3 linked regions of the Xenopus tropicalis genome follow. The protein of the gene in region 1 purifies or fractionates together with the protein of each later gene. This does not show direct contact. Links are inferred from orthologs where the notes say so. Each region holds a gene or a part of one and is shown on either strand. Other genes may lie near its edges.

The links. The genes of interacting proteins can lie anywhere in the genome.
Region 2: the proteins of usp48 (region 1) and rela purify together in Homo sapiens (affinity purification with mass spectrometry; 3 studies listed by BioGRID, with this or other methods). This does not show direct contact. The link is inferred for Xenopus tropicalis from reciprocal best matches to the Homo sapiens genes USP48 and RELA.
Region 3: the proteins of usp48 (region 1) and uba6 fractionate together in Homo sapiens (co-fractionation; 3 studies listed by BioGRID, with this or other methods). This does not show direct contact. The link is inferred for Xenopus tropicalis from reciprocal best matches to the Homo sapiens genes USP48 and UBA6.

The regions. Positions count from the first base shown.
Region 1 is NC_030683.2:132,145,170-132,151,557, reverse strand, and holds the end of usp48 (ubiquitin carboxyl-terminal hydrolase 48), read left to right. Parts: intron 1-1,682; coding exon 1,683-1,883; intron 1,884-2,674; coding exon 2,675-2,789; intron 2,790-2,977; coding exon 2,978-3,114; intron 3,115-3,203; coding exon 3,204-3,275; intron 3,276-3,878; coding exon 3,879-4,003; intron 4,004-4,172; coding exon 4,173-4,295; intron 4,296-4,465; coding exon 4,466-4,527; intron 4,528-4,630; coding exon 4,631-4,741; intron 4,742-4,865; coding exon of another isoform or gene 4,866-4,870; coding exon 4,871-4,988; coding exon of another isoform or gene 4,989-4,999; intron 5,000-5,832; downstream 5,833-6,388.
Region 2 is NC_030680.2:38,473,894-38,480,281, forward strand, and holds part of rela (transcription factor p65), read left to right. Parts: intron 1-2,728; coding exon 2,729-2,877; intron 2,878-6,353; coding exon 6,354-6,388. UniProt on the Homo sapiens protein: NF-kappa-B is a pleiotropic transcription factor present in almost all cell types and is the endpoint of a series of signal transduction events that are initiated by a vast array of stimuli related to many biological processes such as inflammation, immunity, differentiation, cell growth, tumorigenesis and apoptosis.
Region 3 is NC_030677.2:82,734,819-82,741,206, forward strand, and holds part of uba6 (ubiquitin-like modifier-activating enzyme 6), read left to right. Parts: intron 1-151; coding exon 152-228; intron 229-413; coding exon 414-480; intron 481-1,032; coding exon 1,033-1,176; intron 1,177-2,084; coding exon 2,085-2,152; intron 2,153-3,270; coding exon 3,271-3,349; intron 3,350-3,784; coding exon 3,785-3,865; intron 3,866-4,485; coding exon 4,486-4,563; intron 4,564-4,885; coding exon 4,886-5,067; intron 5,068-6,388. UniProt on the Homo sapiens protein: Activates ubiquitin by first adenylating its C-terminal glycine residue with ATP, and thereafter linking this residue to the side chain of a cysteine residue in E1, yielding a ubiquitin-E1 thioester and free AMP.

The DNA of each region.
Region 1 (6,388 bases):
TTGGATAACAAGGGGTATATATACTGTATATAGGGTAAGTGTGTAACTTAGGGCAGTGCCTGTATGTTGGATAACAAGGGGTATATATACTGTATATGGGGTAAGTGTGTAACTTAGGGCAGTGCCTGTATGTTGGATAACAAGGGGCTATGTACTGTATATGGGGTAAGTGTGTAACTTAGGGCAGTGCCTGTATGTTGGATAACAAGGGGTATATATACTGTATATGGGGTAAGTGTGTAACTTAGGGCAGTGCCTGTATGTTGGATAACAAGGGGCTATGTACTGTATATGGGGTAAGTGTGTAACTTAGGGCAGTGCCCTGTATGTTGGATAACAAGGGGCTATGTACTGTATATGGGGTAAGTGTGTAACTTAGGGCAGTGCCTGTATGTTGGATAACAAGGGGTATATATACTGTATATGGGGTAAGTGTGTAACTTAGGGCAGTGCCTGTATGTTGGATAACAAGGGGCTATGTACTGTATATGGGGTAAGTGTGTAACTTAGGGCAGTGCCTGTATGTTGGATAACAAGGGGTATATATACTGTATATGGGGTAAGTGTGTAATTTAGGGCAGTGCCTGTATGTTGGATAACAAGGGGCTATGTACTGTATATGGGGTAAGTGTGTAACTTAGGGCAGTGCCCTGTATAAAGAATAATGTTGGGGCTGTTGTCTTTATAATAAGTGTCCTGTGGCTCTGCAAGCTTTATATGGGGTAATGGTTATGTGGGACTTTACATGGGGTAGCTGGGACTGCAGCTGGTATGTGGGGTAATTGTGTAACGTCTGTGGCCTGTATAAGGGAGCTTTTAGGCGGTACTGCAGCCTATATATGGCTATAGGGGTAACTCTAATGGTTGAGTCCTCACTAATTTGGGGCTCTGGTCTGTAAAATGGGGTAAATATGTAACTTAGAGCTGTAGCCTGTATATGGCGTAACTGTATCTTGGGGTTGTGGCCTGTATGTAGGGTAACATGGCTGTAGCTGTTACATACTGTAACTTTTGTATGGGACTGCAATTAGTAAATAACTATGGTTTGGGGCTGGGGTCTGTTTATAGCGCAGTGCTACAGCCTGTATGTGGGGTAACTGTTATATGGGCCCTTTGCTCTTATACGAGGTAACTGTATTGTGGGGCTGTATAGTGGGTAACAGAGCTTTATAGAGACGGTTTTCCTCTATCCCAGGCACTGTGGGAATTAAATCTAATCTGCCACAGACACACAGAAATATATGCCAGTAGAATGCTTATTTTGTGTTGATGTATACTGCAAAAAGTTGTGATTTAAAAACCTGTGACATTTGCTGTAATGAATTAAATAAAACATTTTAATTAAAGGTATACTGTCATCGAATTCTAAGGGAGGGATATATTTCTGGTATTAAAAAAAAAATTTGACAGCGTTTACAGAGCTGCTGTCTGGAGATGCTTGTGATTTACCAAGTGAGAGAGGATGATAGAATAATAAATATATATTACATTGTTTAGAGAAAACAGCACTACTGATGTTAAAATGAAATGATTTATTATATTTATATTTATATTATTATTCAGTGTGATGATAGTATCCCTTTAAATGTGCCTACTAATAGGTGTGTAACCTGCGTTTGTTAGAAGCGTGTTGTTCCTGCATAGCTACATCTTCTCTCTCTGTCATTCTCTGCTTCTTCCAGACAGTGCCTACGAGTTTGTGCCCCTCGAGTGGCTCCAGAAATGGCTGGATGAGTCCACTCCAACCAAACCCATTGACAACTCCAAGTGTCTGTGTTCCCATGGGAAGCTGCACCCCGATAAGATCTCCCTCATGAAGAGAATTTCTCAGCACGCAGCAGATATCTTCTACAAGCGGTATGGGGGCAGCCCTCGCCTGACTGGTAAGCACAGCTGGGGTATCCCCAGGAACCAGTGAGAAAATCCATTGGGTAATGACGGCACCGCAATACATTGTTATTGATTTATTGTAACAAACGGTATAGCAACTTTCATGTTCTCATTTTTTGTTTTCTTGTTTGACTTTTGTAAAACAAATAACATTTTTAAAAAAAAGAATCCATTGGGCCCAGTTTATAAGCCCCATGTGGAACCATCCCCACTAAACTAATTTCAGGGGTAGGGTAAAGTACAAAGGGTAAACTCTAGCTAGCCCTTCCAACCTGTTCCCTGCAGGGTCGGACTGGGAGGTGCAGGGCCCACCGGGGCCTCTGTCTCAGGGACCCCTGCACCCCCCCAATGGCCCCGCCGCCTTCACCGCCCCCCCTCCCCCCACAGAGGCTCCCAACACCTTCCGACCCCCTCCCCTGGACGCTCCTAAAAGAATCTTACCTGCGGCGCTTCGGGGGAGGGGGATGATGGATCGCGGGAACGCCCTGGGGGGGTACTGGATCTGGGCCGCCAGGGCCCACTGGGTTTTTTCTCGGTACCCCGGTGGCCCAGTCTGACGCTGGTTCCCTGCCCCTCTTGCTGATATTGGGAGGGACAGCAGTGCAGGAGCAGAAAATAGAATAAGAGATAAGTAATAGGGATTGTTATATTCACCCCAGAGAAGATTGTAAGGGGCTAATCCATGGGGCAAGTGGATTTCAACTTCCACAATACTGATTAGGATTGCTAACCAGTCTGCTTGGTGCTTACCCCCCGACAATGTATCTTTTACCCCCCTTTCTAGATGATGCTCTCTGCAAGGACTGTGTGGTAGAAAGATGCAGGGTTCTGCGCTTGAAGAACCAACTGAATGAAGATTACAAATCGTTAACTAATATGGTTAAGCTTCCAGTGGAGAGGTAATATATTCATTCCTTTGCCTAACCTGTCTTATCGTTAGCACTAAAATGCAAGGCAGATCTTATTAGGAACCTCCCCCTGGGTAAGGGAATCCACTCTGCATCAGTAGAATTCTTGTTATTACAGTGAATGGTGACCCCTAACTACAAGAAAGTGATTAATTCATGACTTCAAATAATGTTTCCAGCAATGAAGGCTTCTGGATTGGAAAAAGCTCACTGCGCCGCTGGCGTCAGTTGGCAACCGAGCAGCTTGACCAGCAGGAAGAGGACTTAGCCCAGGGCGATTGGAAAGTAAATGGAGAATCCCCAAAGGCCTGCGAGGGTAGGGGCAACGCTCATATTATTATTATTATTATTATTATTGTTGTTATGACTCCTCCTTATGAACTCCTTTCTCTTGTTTCCCTATAGAGGGGATAGATGAGGAAAAGAAGGAAGCGGATTCTGAGCTTGGGTTTAACGAAGATATTATTTGTCAGCACGGTGGGTACCGCACATGTGTTTAGACTCAGATTTATACGTTTCAGGTTTCTATAGAATATATTACACACTTGTGTCCCAAGCATTTCCAAAACATTTTTCGATCTGTTGCTATAGTTTCCCTTTATCCCTAATGTAACAGTTGAATCCATTTTGCATTTCCCTTCCCCTCTCTGCAGGGATATTTCACCTAACTACATTATGGGGCTGATTTACTAAATTGTTTTTTTCTGACCTTGAAAGTCATATACACTCAACATGGTATAAATTTGAATTAAACTTGATTGTTGTTGCATTTATCAAATGTCATGATAACGCTGCTATTGGTCGGATGAAAATTTCGAGTTTACGTTCGTAAATCACACATTTTTCAAGCTGAAAGTATTGTTATAACTTGAAAAATTCAAGTTTAAACAAATGGAATTAACTTCTCCTTGAAAAGGTGTGAAATAGAAAACAATGATGGGATTAACTTCCCCTTGAAAATATATATGGTATAGGGAAAAAACTAGATATTTTCAAGTTTTAAAAAGAGACTTTTTCTCCTATATATCTGACTTTGTTTCACTTGGCTGAGGCAGTTACCAATACGTTTGTGTATCGCAGGGGGTCTGAGCATTTCGGAGAGTGAGAGGAGGCTGATCTCTGAAGCAGCCTGGTACAAGCTGAAGGAGTATTTTCCTACGGCGCCTGAGTTCCGGCACAGCCAGGAGTCCTGCTCCCAGTGCAAGGTTTGTGTTTGCAGGGATGTGTATGTGCAGCTGGTACCCCCAATTTGCTCAGGAGACCCCCACATACACAGCAGCCTTTATACTTTTGTTCCTTTCCGTCATAGAAAGAATCACTTGTATTACCAAGGGGCCTGTGTTCTGTTTGTCGGTAACACCTCTGTCTCTCTAGGTTCTGGAACAGGAAGGGGAGAGGCACGAAGCTCTGCATAAGATGATGGCAAATGACCAGAAGACGGCACTTCCCAACCTGTTTCAAGACAAGAACAGACCATTACTGGGGAGCTGGCCTCAGGTATTGCCCTCTGTCCCATTCCCATTGGCCTCAGTACTAGTGAGCCAGTGTTTGAGGCTAGCTAGTCCCTGCTATACGTGTATGAAGAGTGCCCCACATTCCTTGTTTAACGATTGTCTCATGTTGTGGAAATGGAAAGTCTTGTTACAGTGTCTCCCAATTTCCCGTAGGATACGGCCGAGTTCTTCGTTGTGTCTCAGTTCTTTGTGGAAGAATGGAGAAAGTTCATTAGGTAACTTGCTTATCTGCCCCCATCCATTCTGACCCCCCTGTTACTCCTGTCAGCCACCTTGCCTTTTATATTCAATGATTTCTTTATTTCTGCTCTAATGTAGGCGACCCACAAAAAGCAACCCAGTCATGTCTATAGGGAACAGTCTACTTCTCTGCCCCCATGGGGGTCTCATGATCTCCTTTACCAACATGACTAAGGAGGACGCCAAACTGTGAGTCTTTTCGTCATTGCTATATTTTCATGCCACACCGCCAACTGCGTTGCTTGGCCACACCCATTATGCCAGATTTTGGCCACAGTTTAATGGGCATTTCTTGTGCCTTTCTTCTGCACAGTATAGCTCCCATATGGCCTGCAGAATGGGACGCTATCCAGAAACTCTTTATTGTCGACCACACAATCAAAATCAGCCGAACGGTTGTAACCAGGGAGGACAGGACATTTACTGTCGACTATGAATCAGACCCCAGTAAGTGGGACTTTATTGAGTCTTAACCCTTCTCTGTATTGGTAAGCTATTTGCTGATTCCTCAGTAACATGTTATAATATTGCACAGCACAATGTTTTGTTGTCTTCATAATCCCAGATTAACCTTTTGTGTTATACACCTGCTCTCCTGCTGTGTAAATTTACTCTGCCCCTAGTACTTACCCAGGTACAGAGCTCTGATTCTTAGTACTTCCTGATCCTGGGCTGCTCTCTTTCCCATGGTCAGACAGGAACCTCCCCCTGGGTAAGTGAATCCAATCTCCCCCCAGTACTTACCCAGGTACAGAGCTCTGATTCTCTGTACTTCCTGCTCCTGGGCTGCTCTCTTTCCCATGGTCAGACAGGAACCTCCCCCTGGGTAAGTGCATCCAATCTCCCCCCAGTACTTACCCAGGTACAGAGCTCTGATTCTCTGTACTTCCTGATCCTGGGCTGCTCTCTTTCCCATGGTCAGACAGGAACCTCCCCCTGGGTAAGTGAATCCAGTGTACCCTTTAACATTTCCAGGTGTACTTACCCATGGGTAGGTTCCTGTCTGACCATAGGAAAGAGAGCAGCTGAGGAGAATCAGTACATAACATTAGAGCTCTGTACCTGTGCATGTAATGGATTTATACAGGTAGACATTTTATTTTTGAGAATTTAAATAGGTCACATGTTTCATCCCAAATAGGGTTAGCTAATGGCAATGTTAACAGGTTTGTGAAATACACTGATATTTCCAATGTGCGCCTATTGAGCCCTAAATAACAGTAGGATATCCCATTGCTTGCTTAGTTCTCACTCGCTCTCTCTGGGTTGCTTTGTGGCAGAGCTGTGCCCAGACTGTAGGGAAGGATTGCTGTGCCAGCAGCAGAGGGATCTGCGGGAATACGCTCAGGCCACAATCTACATTCACAAAGTTGTGGATCGGAAGAAGGTGAGGCTTTGTTATAGCCGGTGCCACGTTACAGGCCCGTACTCTCACAGGTGCTGACCCGCTCCCATCTGTACTGCAGGTAATGAAGGAGGTGGCGCCGGAGCTGAACGTCAGCAGTTCTGACCTGGAGGATGAGAAAGATGAACCCAGAGCAGATGGGGAGACTGACCCTGACTTTAATCAGGTTCTTTATCCTCGTTTGATTCCTTTATTCCTTTTGTTTGATTCCTTTATAACTGTTTAGCAAGTGAGGGAATACAGGGTTATGGGGGATAGCTCTCAGTACAAGTGAAGGAATACAGGGTTATGGGGGATAGCTCTCAGTACAAGTGAGGGAATACAGGGGTAGGGGGGATAGCTCTCAGTACAAGTGAGGGAATACAGGGGTAGGGGGGATAGCTCTCAGTACAAGTGAGGGAATACAGGGGTAGGGGAGATAGCTCTCAGTA
Region 2 (6,388 bases), on another chromosome or scaffold:
GAGTGGAAAGGCCAGGGTGTGCTGGTGAGCGTGGTTTGATTTACTTCTAGAGCTCCATCCTCGGGGCAATGGGTGCTGGGATTGGCATTACTGCATGACAGAATTTGGTGACTCTCCGTATCACTTGATCTTTGGAGAAAAAAAAAAACATATCACCACATTAAACAGGTGGTTCACATTTAAAGTGTTGGACTGGCCCACAGGGATAACAGGAAAATTCCCGGTTGGCCCACTGGGCAAATGGCTGCTTCTAGCGATTTGGCCTAATTCAGGTCCATTGCTTATTTTTCTATGGGAACAAAGCAACTAAATATATAGAAGAATAGATTATAGTATATAAAGATAAAAAAAAACTAGGAAAATATAGAGATTGAGTAAGAAGTGGAAAAAAATTGTTTGGAGAGTAGGCCTATGGTCTAAGGTTTTCTAGTGGGTCCCTGGCATCCCAGTCCAACACTGTAAATTTACATTAACTTTTAGTATGTTATAGGATGTTTATTCCTAGAAACTTTTCAGTTGGTCTCCATTATTTTTCATAGTTTAATGATTTGCATTCCTCTCCCTCTTTCCAGCTTTCAAATGGGGGCCACTGACCCGAAAGCCAAAAGCTATTGCCCTCTGAGACTATAATTTTATTGTTTTATTATTTGTCTTCCTATTAAGACCCTTTCCTTTTTCGTATTCCAGTCTTTCATTCAAACTACTGCCTGGTTGCTGGGGATTCTAGCAACCAGATAGCTGCTTAAATGCCAAACTGGAGACCTGCTGGGAAAAAAATTAAGAACAAATGCAGATTGTCTCAGCGTATCAATGTCTACAGCAAACTAAAAGTTAATTTAAAAGGTGAACTACCCCTTTCTTATTTTGTAGAGTGAACTTTTGCAACAATAACCGCTTTAAGCCATTTAAAGGTAATATGTTCCACTGTATTTATTGTGCATTGTTAAAGTAGCCTTACACTACTTATTTGGCGAGGTCGCCAAGCGAGCAGATCTTTTCCTGATATGCCATCCCTAGGGCCAACAATCGAATTGCAATAGCAGACATAGACGCCTTCTGATCGGAGACCGCATCAACGAGCCGATGTGCTCCCTGATCTGACAGAAAATCAAGCCTGCCTGATCGAGATCTGCCCAATTTGAGGCCAGATATCCATCGGGTAGGCATCGGGGTGCAGATAAGCTGCCGAACCGGTTTGGACCAGAATCGGCAGCTGAAATCGGCCTGTGTATGGCCCCCTTTAGACTTCACTTGCAAACAGTGTGCAAAGCTCATAAATACTCACTTGAAAAGACACATTGCTATTCAGACATTTAAACAATTTGTACAGATGAATACAAATCCTGCAATAAGTGTATTATCTGTGATTTAGATGTTTTAACGTGACTTTACAAAATATTTGTATGCAAACAGCATTCAGCCCCCCCCCCTTTTGAGCACTAACAGTGTTATGTGTTTTGAGTTCCAATGCATACCGGCTTTACACACAATTTAGGTGTAATTTTTGGTGTCACATTTTTTCTGGCACATGTTCTCTGTTATTCAGGTCAGATGACACTTGTGTTTCAGTTAATTAGTCTGAGAGATACTCAGCTGGCATGACCTGGCATAGCTCGTTTGCATAATGGCTTCTTTTGTGCCACCCTACTTTAAAGGAAAGTGTTTATGCAAAACACTTAATATCGCTGATGCAGACCTACAGTGAAGTGAGGTGGCGATGCATAATGCTGTTGGACTGCTTCTTATTCTGCACATCTAGTTAAAACAGAAGGAAGCAGAAAGTGTAATTATATCCTATGGGAGGCTTCCAAAATCATGCATTGAAGGTTGAAAGTCAAAGTTTTTTGCGGCGTTTATGATCGTTCGGATACGAAAATTTCAGAACTTTCGGATTGCGCCACGATATTTGCGTACAAACACAATAGGAATTTTCTCACAATTAACACACATCCAAAATTATTGTATTTATTCCGAATTTTTGCCAATCATACTTTTAATTAGCCGAAATTCGGACTTTGATAAATCTGCCCCTGAGTGAAAAAAAGACCCCTGTCCCTTTTAAAGGAGTGGTTCACCTATAAGTAAACTTTTAGTATGTTATAGAATGGCCAATTATAGTTTTTGAACAATTTGCAGCTTTTAAATGGGGGTCACTGACCCTGTGAGGCTACAATTTTACTGTTACTTTTTATAACTTTTTTTTCTATTCAGGTCCTTTCCTATTCATGTACCAGTCTCTCCTTCAAACCACTCCCTGGTTGCTATATAATTTGGACCCTAGCAACCAGATAGCTGCTGAAACTCCAAACTGAAGAGCTGCTAAACAAAAAGCGAAATGACTAAAAAGAACACCGTTTTATTGCAGGATTTGTTGTTCATTAAATGAACAAATTGTTTCAGTGTCTGAATAGCCATTGTTGTCAGATAATGTATGTTTTTTCATTTTCTGCTGTAAGACACACTGGCATAGTTGGTAATGGCCTACAAGATAGCGGTCAACTTATGGGCTCTGTTTGACTTAACTGATGGCTGTACTTTCATAGCTCTTTACCCAGCTGTTTATTAAGGGAAGTGAAAAATTTTTTAGCCTTATTGATCATTCTAATCATCACTTTACCATCATCATAGTATTTGATTTGTTCATTCATGGTTTTTGTCATTTGCACATTTATTTTATTTATTTTTTTATTGTCTGATTGATTCCTTCCATTCTTTATGGTCATTTTAGATAAACCATTACCAGGGCTCAGCGCGTATTCGAATATCCCTAGTTACTAAGGATTCTCCACACAAACCTCACCCTCATGAGTTGGTAGGAAAGGACTGTAAGGATGGATATTATGAAGCTGAACTTTCCCCAGATCGTAGTATTCACAGGTAATGATTGGTTTGGTTACACTTCTGTTCAAAGGAATTGTCAGCCCCAAAAATAACTTTTTGCTTAATTAAACAAAACTTAATTCTAAGCAATATACATTCATTACTTCATTCATTCATTATTTTTTTTAGTTATTTGTATATATAATTGCTATTAAAAGCAGTGTCTACCTGTCCTCTCTAGTCTCTGCCCTGGTGGCTCTGGCACTTGAAGCAATGTAACACAAGGCAGCAGACTGACAGACCTTGTCATGATATAGGCCTGTAAGGGTTAATCAAGCAGGCCAAGGTATCCCAAAATCTTCCAGAAATGTGCCAGAAAGAGATATATAACAGGCCTCTGGTCACTAGGGTCTGGAACCAGCCATGTGTAAAGGCCTCGCATCCTGAAATGCCCAACTCTAATCCCTGGCTGATAAGAGCCATGCCATGTGGGGGAGTGAAAGCCCACGTGGGGGTGACTTAGAGTTCACATTGGGACCCATCATAGGTGATGTGGAGGTCACACCATAACCCAAACTCACAAACATTTATTGTCCCAGAACCCATACTATTTATACTAGAGGTACCAAAACCTGAGTATATGTTTCATTTAAGATGGCCTTTCATACGGGTCCAAACATCACTGGATTTGGGCACTTGGTTTGTCAGATAGGAGTATCTGGGCAGGGGCAGGTCACACAGTGGTGATGTTTAGTCTGTATGGGACCGGTGGGATCATTAAGAATTGATGAATCTAATTTCATCATGTTCCCACAAGGAGTTATGGACATTGGTATCATTGGACAAGTCCCATACACTCAGTCCATACACAGGAGGCCATAAAACTCACACTGTGTCCTGCTAATGGTGACACCCCTTGCATTCCTGAGGGAGGGGGGAGTGTCCAGTTACCTGATCCCCCTGCAAACTGGGATAAATAGTCAGCTCTTCTGAAGATATTATGTGGAGGACCAATTTCTATTGGAAGTTTATCCTGTGGTTTCCCCTTGCCTCCAGGACTAGAAGGACTTTGCTTGGTATAGTATAGGACTTCTATATTTTTCCCTTTTTATTTTAAAACTGTTTGTACTTGTTTTATCGTATGTCCTTTGTTGTAACATCTTGTTTTAAACTTGCACTGTTATACTTTTTATAATATTAAATATAAAATTTAATAAGTTTGTCCTTGATGCTCTAAAACGTACCTAACCTCCGAGTGTGTAACTGTGTTGTGTGCCTTAGCCCTCTGTATGCTGTGTGCTGATTAACCCTTTGACTGCTGGTAAGGAGAGTGTGTGTGTCGGTTCTTTACATTAACCCTTTCTCTACCAGTGTGCTTGGCATCTCTCATCGCCAGTGTAAGAAGTATGAAAGTGGTGGCAGCAAGTTGTGTATGAGTTTGTGAGCGTTGGTTGGTCTTTGGGGTGCTGTGATGCTAGTCTGACCTGTGTGTCAGGTGTGTGAGACTGAGCAAGGGACCCTCTAGACAGCCACGCCTACAGTCACGTGCATCTGAAGTGGCGTAATCGTGACAGACCTGCCTTGCTGGAGGAGCCTGGCACATGCAATTTTGTTAAAAAGTAACAACCAGGATTTCGGCAAATGCTGCTTTCAATAGCAATTACGTTTACACAACTTTTAAAGTAGTAATAATTTTTAACGAATTGATATTGGAAAGTTGCTTAGAATTATGTTTCTAATTTATTAGGCAAAAACATTTTTTGGGGGTTGACGTCCTTTAAGATTAAAAAAAAAAAAATGCTCTTTAGTAGTAATGTCTCTTAAAACATCAGCATTCTCTAAAATGTTATTATTATTGTTCCTACGCCAGGTTAGTACCGCTTTTGGTGTGTGTCTAAAACAGGGGTTCACAGACTTTACAAGTGTATGGTTCTATTTTGTATGCTTCATCTCTGTGATCTAGTGGCCATCAGCTCAAGATCTACATTTTGGGCATCCGTGCTTAAGGCTATTGCCACACAGGGTTGAATCTCGCCCTGCAGATAAACACGCTACATCAGCCTTTCCCTGTACCTGCACCTGGAATCATTGCATCAGCCTGGGTGCAGGCACAGAGAGCAGATTTTGGTACAGGTTTGGGACCTGTTTTCCAGAATGCTCGGGACCTGGGGTTTTCCGGATAAGGGATCTTTCCATAATTTGGATCTCCATAACTTAAGTTTGCTAAAAATCATTAAAATAGTGATTAACCCCATTAGGATTGTTTTGGCTCCAATAAGGATTAATTAGATCTTAGTTGGGATCAAGTACAAGTACTGTTTTATTATTACAGGGAAAAGGGAATCATTTAACCATTAAATAAACCCAATAGGGCTGTTCTGCCCCCAATAAGGATTAATTATATCTTAGTTGAGATCAAGTACAAGGTACTGTTTTATTATTACAGAGAAAAGGGAATCATTTAACCATTAAATAAACCCAATAGGGCTGTTCTGCCCCCAATAAGGGGTAATTATATCTTAGTTGGGATCAAGTACAGGTTCTGTTTTATTATTACTACAGAGAAAAAGGAAATCATTTTTAAAAATTAGCATTATTTTCTTAGAGTTTATGGGAGATGGCCTTTCCGTAATTCAGAACTTTCATAACAGGTTTCCAGATAAGGGATCCCATACCTGTACAACAATACTTACATACTTTTATCCGCGAGCTACAATTTACGATAATGTGTGACATTAGCCTAAAGCTGGCCATACACGTGGCGATCCGACGATGTTTCGTACGACCATCGGTCGCACGAAACATCGTCAGATCCGCCACACACCATTCAGGGCTGAATCGGCAGGTAAGGAGGTAGAAACAATAGGATTTCTACCTCCTTCTGCCGATTCAGCTCTGAAGGGAGAATTTTGGTCAGGCGCCTTCTATGGCGCCCGATCAAAATTTTCTAACCTGGGCGATCGACGAGCCGACCGATTTCAGCAGCTTCCTGCGACATCGGTCGGCTCGCTGACATACCATACACGCACCGATTATCGTACGAAACGAGGTTTCGTACGATAATATCGGTGCGTGTATGGCCACCTTAAAGGCTGTGAGAAAAACAAGGGTGTTTATCTTCCATTATGGAACTGATAATGTTGTGAACAGCAAGCCACTGTGGCTGCTTAGGCAGCTCAGAGAAATTAAAGCCTGAAGGTTCAAAATACAGAAGGAAAATAAACACACAATTAGCTCTTAATAGTTTAACTCGAAGAATACATAGGGAAAATAAAAGAATCAAGGCATAAATAACATCTAAAATGCAAAATAATTTAAAGGGGGAGTTTGCCTTGAAAATATTTTTTAGTAAGATGCAGACAATGGTATCCTAAAAGCGTAAAAAATATGCTGTTTTACACAGAGAAACCTGGTGTTTTGTGGCAAATGTTGTCACTCTAAATATGAATATTGTATATAAGTGATGTGATATGTGATTTAATATGCTGTACTTTATAAAACGACAATGTCAACTGTTTGTGTGTTTTACTAAGCTTCCAGAACCTTGGCATTCAGTGTGTGAAAAAGA
Region 3 (6,388 bases), on another chromosome or scaffold:
GCTCTGAAGAAACAAGGATGCAGGAGTAAATGCAAAAAAAGCAGAACTTCATTTGCACTTCTTTTTGGTTCTTTGTCATTGTGACTCCTAAAGGAAGGTTGTGTGTTTTTGTTGCACTTAATTGTAAGCAATTATTTTTCTTCTTCTCCAGGCACCTTTGAATATTCATACTGCAATGCTGGCACTAGATTATTTTCAAGAGAAGCACAACCGCCTTCCAAATATAGGGTACTGATCTGATTTTTTTTTAATTAATTATTAGTGTGGAGATAAATGGCTTATAGCGGGATTTTTGTTTTCAGATAGGAAAATGAGGCCCTTCAAAGAGTTTCTTAAATGTGTTATCCCCTTTAATTTAAAACAAAATGTATTTTTTCCTTAGATGCCTTAATGTAAATTAATTAATTTATCAGGTGCCTTCTGGATGCTGAAGAGATGCAGAAGTTAGCAAGATCTGTAACTGAAGTCTTAAAGAACAAGGTAGGTATTAGAGAGGGTAAACTGCTTTCTATGTTTACAGAAAAGTAGGCAGTGGATGTGTGTCTACTGTTGACCACTGTACGAGTTACAGTATTTGGTGTCATCCAATAGTTGGCCAGAGTGCCAGAAATTTAATCAGCCTGGTTTGTCCCAAGACTTGGCTGGCCATAGATCTGTCTATTTGGTGACCTGGCTATGTATGCTTATCTAAAGATTATCCAAAAGAATTTTTATTTTCTTGCTATTCACAAACCTGATCAGTCAGTGATAGTACAGAATTAAAATGTTCTATTTTGTATCCCCTCATCTGGAATCCTCATACACTGGACACAGGGTTTGGTGAAACAAGTTTGGTGAAATCTCATGTCCTTACCATTCTCTCTTCCCAGTTTAGAGTTCTAATGAGATTACAAGTTTTTTAAAATGGACACCTATATTAAACCTTTATAGTAAGCTTTAAATGTGTGCTTTCCCCTAGCATCTGATTGTATTTATATAAATTGGCCCACCAGTTAACCATAAATCCATCTTTTTGTTTTGTTGATTTTGTAGCCTCTGCTGGATGAGAACCTGGTAAAATGGTTGTCTTGGACAGCTCAAGGATTGTTAACGCCACTTGCAGCTGCAATAGGTGGCATTGTTAGCCAGGAAGTTTTGAAAGCAGTGACAGGAAAATTTTCTCCATTGCAACAATGGGTAAGTTATTTGTCTTATTCATTAACTACTATTTGAAAATAATCTTTTTGTTCTTATAGCTGTGTTCTGTTAATAAATAAACCTTACCAGATATCTGTTTAATCTTCATTGCATTTAATGGTTTTCGGAATTAATAAGTATGTAATATTTAGCTTCATGCAAAAATATTTGTACCTGTTGTCAGGACACATATCCATATATAATAAACTATAATTGTATTGCTGCTTTTGACTATACATAAATACATAGTTACAGTGCCTTGCAGAAGAATATACCTCCTTGATGAGTTCTTTAAATTTAGTGAAATACACCCTATGCTGAAATCATGTTCTTTATAAAGCACTGAAAGTCAGATTTTAGTTTTTTAAATATGACAAAAATGTACTAGTCTGTTTGTTTTCATCCCCCATTTTATTATTTTTAGAGCCACCTTGTACACCAATAACAGTTTTAAGTATTTGGGATTAATACACAAAAGCTTTGGACACTGTTTGGTTTGGAGTAATTTTGCCCTATTTTTCTTGGTAAATATTCTCCATGTTGTTCAAGTTAGTTTAGGGCTTGTGTTTTGACAGTTGTCCTGCTGAAAAATGAACTTTCTCAGAAGATTAGTTTTTAACAGACCTGGTTAAATTCTTTTGCAGTATTTTACCTGTATTTTTTTTCACTCTGAATTCTTCTATTTAAACAAAATTCTTAGACCTTGCAGATAAAAAGCAGTCCAATAATATAATGCCATTCTTATGCTGTCTAGATAAAAATTAGAGAACTGCTCAAGGTGATGAATAATTCTGCAAGGCACTGGATGCAGCTATCAAGCATTTAGTTGCTTATACCTAAAATTAACTATAACTTATTTTATTGTAGTGCAAATTTAATTAGTTGCTTCTTACTTTGACTGTTTGCAGCTCTTTATTGATGCTTTGGACATTGTTCACTCCCTGGAAACAGCAAATCGTGATGAATTTCTTCCAAGGTACAGCCAATGTTTTTCCAGCCTTTTATTGATGTTATGTAGGGACTATTAGACTTTTTAGTGCATTTGTATGTAATTTTATTATGCATCAAAACGTTGCTATGTAGATTTCTGTTTTATAACTAAACATGACTATACACTTTCCAGTTTTACTAATTTCAGGTTTATTATTTGCCAATCAGTGCATTTAAGGGCACCACAGCCAACTTTTTGACCCCCATCCATGTGATCCCATTAAATCACAACTGTTTGTTTGAGTGAAATTCCTGTGTGCCAAGGCCTTTATTCTATGTATCAGTCTGTGTATCTGGTTTGTATGGAAGTGAGAGAGCTCTCTAATGGCACAAGGGGAGATTGGTAACTTTGGTCACCCAGTGATTTATTGTTCTGAGGGAGTGAGACAAACCACTACAAATCTCCCTGAAAGGGAATCATCATAATTGCTCCTTGTGATGGTTTCTACTGTTGCTGGCAAATATTACTGGCAGGACAGGTGTGTTAGCAGAAAAATAGAAAAAAAGCAGACAGAGCGCTCATACCGGTCTCAGATACAGGTGTGGGATCCGTTATCCAGAAAGTTCTGAATTACGGAAAGGCCATCTCACATAGACTCCATTATAAGTAAATAATTCTAATTTTTAAAAATTGTTTTCTTTTTTCTCTGTAATAATAAAACAGTACCTTGTACTAAAATATAATTAATCTTTATTGGAGGCAAAACAATCCTTTTGGGTTTATTTAATCTTTAAATGACTTTTTAGTAGATTTAAGGTATGGAGATCCAAATTACGGAAAGATCCGGAAAACCCCAGGTCCTAAGCATTCTAGATAACAGGTCCCATACCTGTACTGATATAGCCCATCATTTCTTTGGCAGAAAGGACGGTGACTTCAGTGACAATTGTAATGGAATCTAGTAATATATTTCTAATGTAGCCAGTTATATTAGCCAGTGTTATCTATATTCTCAAAGGCCACACAATTTGTCCCTCACACAAAGACAATAAAATGTCCACAAATACCCTTCCTTTTTGCTTTAAATCATTAAATCATACAGTATATTCCTTCTTTTTTACGACTTACCATACAGTAAATTCTATCCCCTCAAATTCTTATAGAGGAGACAGATATGATGCCTTAAGGGCTTGCATAGGAGACACATTTTGCAAGAAGATTCACAACATAAATGTGTTCCTGGTGAGTATCTTTTCTGAAAGCTGTTTTGGGTTGTTATATTTGGAGTAGTAATTCTTTATGAATTCACCAGCAGGGTTGCTTCCATAGCCTGTTCAATTACCATACAACCATTTTTCTGTGTGTTGGTGGGACTTGCATATTTCCTTCTATATAGGAGTGTGTTAATCCTTATGTGTAAGTTCTAGTTTAAATATTTATTTAAGAGCAGAGATACAAACATGGTATTAGTCAGACAAAGGGACAGTTCTATTAATATCCCATTGTTCCATATACCTTGTATGGTCCTATAGATTTACATGACATAACAATGGGCATGTCTCAAACTGTACTTACAATATCATACATGTTTTTACAATGGAGAGCTTATCATATTAAACAGAAAAGTGTTAAATAACTATTGTACTCAATTTGCAGTTGTATTCATATATTCCATAGGTTGGATGCGGTGCAATTGGGTGTGAAATGTTGAAGAATTTTGCACTTTTAGGGGCTGGAAGTGGCTCAGAGCGTGGGCTGGTAAGTTTCAACCGTAAGTTATTTATTTATATGCAGATCTGACCATTTTACCTTTAATCAGGTTGCCCAAAACACTCTCATTGTAGGCAAATGATCAAAACATACAGATTATTATTATTCCAGCAGTTAACTATAAAGCCCTATACATTTCAGGCAGAAATGATCACTGTTGCTGTGCATGTTTAAAATATTAATTCCAGTTTATAATGTGATGTTTAAGACTAAAGGGCTTCAGGTTTAGGTACAAGTGCTGTAGTGCTAAGGATCAAACATGCTGCCCATCTAGTGTGCATATATAAACTTTAGAAGCTGTTTTCACTCCATTTTGCAAGTGCAGAGTATTTCGTCTGATGGCAGTGGGCACAAAGCCTAGAGGCAAAGTGCATTTTTTTTTTTTGTTTTTTTTTTTTACTTCTAATCACTCTTCAACATGTTGGTTGCTATGTGTTTCTGCACTGGAATTTATTAACCCAGTGTTGCAAATGAGCCAAAATGAAAAACTGTGTGTTAGTGTGCACCCATTTGCAGCTCAGCAGTTGACTGGCAATGTCCTAAATCTTTCCTTGTGCCATTGCCCAAGCTCTCCTTACATAACTTACATTGTCTTTCTTTTTAAACAGATTACAGTAACAGACCCTGACTTAATTGAAAAATCTAACCTGAACAGGCAGTTTCTCTTCCGACCCAAACACATTCAGGTATATTTCAACTCCAGACATTGTACGTTAGGTTTCAGTATCCTGTGACCTATCCTTCCCTTATGTTTACAGCTTACCTTCTATTGATTAGTAAAGGAACAGTAACACCAAAAAATGAATGTTTTTTAAAGTAATTAACATGTACTGTTGCCCTGCACTGGGGAAGTTGCCAGTGCCATTCATGTCTTGTTTACAGATGGCTGTTTGCTCTATTCCATGCTGAGTTTATTGTTTCATCCGTTTTCTTCAAAAAAATTGCACCCGCTATATTAATAGGGTTATTTTACAAATATTAGTATGTCACATCTTGCTCTCTTTTCAGAAACCTAAAAGCTATACTGCTTCTGCTGCAACCCTCAACATCAACCCACAATTAAAAATTGATCCGCGGTTAGACAAGGTCTGCCCTGCAACTGAGAACATTTTTGATGATGAGTTCTGCACCAGACAGGATATTATAGTGACTGCTTTGGACAATGTAGAGGCAAGAAGATACATTGACAGGTAGATTTAATTTCTTTTAAAAATGTAATGGATAGTGGAGTAAATCATTACATTTGTTTTCCTGTTTTGTCAGTTCTGTATGTGTATGGCCCTATCTGCTCTTCCATCAACCACTAGTATTTGTTTCCTTGGGAAAACATGAGACTTGAAAGGGCATGAGATAGTCAGTGTTCTTAGTTTGTTAGTTATTTATTTTTCCTCAGGATTATTCTAGTATGATTGTTTTAGTTATATCCCTGCATGTTGCATCCATTCATTCACTGGTAGAACATATTCATTTGGACATACAAAACTGGAGAATACTATTTAGCCTATCCATGACAAAAACAGGTGCAAAAACATGTTCTCTTTAATTAGTATGCTTTCCCCTTAATGTCATATTATTACTTTGCTTTGCCATTAAAAGACTTGATCACTTTATCTTTGGGAACAGTTTCACCTTTCTACCCCCAGTAAGTTCTGTGGTACAGCAATTTTGCCTGTTTGTTTACTGAAGTAGATGCAAAAAGATTCAATCAGTACTTACTCATTTATATATACTGTATATTTTAATATTTTGTACAGAAGAAGTGCCATATAAATAAAATTATGCTTATATACATATAGACTTCTTATATTTGTTTGCATTTCAATCAACATTAAAATTTTATTTTTAAAGGAGAACTAAACCCTAAAAATGAATATGGCTAAAAATGCCATATTTTATATTATAAACTGACTGCACTGGCTTAAAGTTTTAGCATCTCTATAGTAGTATTGATATAGATTGTTACAATTGTCACAGGAGCTCCCTGTCTTGGATTCTGTTCCCCCCCCCCCCACCCCGGAACTGTCCGGGACAGTGCACCTGCTCAGTGTGGTCTGAGCAGCTGCTGAGAAGCTGAGTTTAGAGGTTGTTGCAAATTGTTAAGCAGAAAATGAGGGTTGTCTGTCAAATAAGCTGATGCTACAGGGCTAATTATTATATCTGATGCAAATACACTGGTTTGCTATCTGTCATGTAATGTGAATCTGAATGAATTACTAATCAGCTTTTTACTGTTACATTTATACTCTATTTATGCAGTATATTTTGAGTCATCCCTAAGTTCAGTAACTGACAGCAGCACAGAGCATGTGTAGGGAAGCAGCAGAAAAGAAGATGTGGGGCTACTGGGGGCATCTTTGGAGGCACAAATCTTCCCTTCAAAAGGGTTGTGGTCACCTTGGGCTGGTACAGAAACCCAAAACATAATGTACAACATTTCTGCCCTAATTCTTTAGTGAGGCTTTAGTTCTTCTTTAATTGACATGAGAGGAAAACAAACTCCTGACAGGTCTC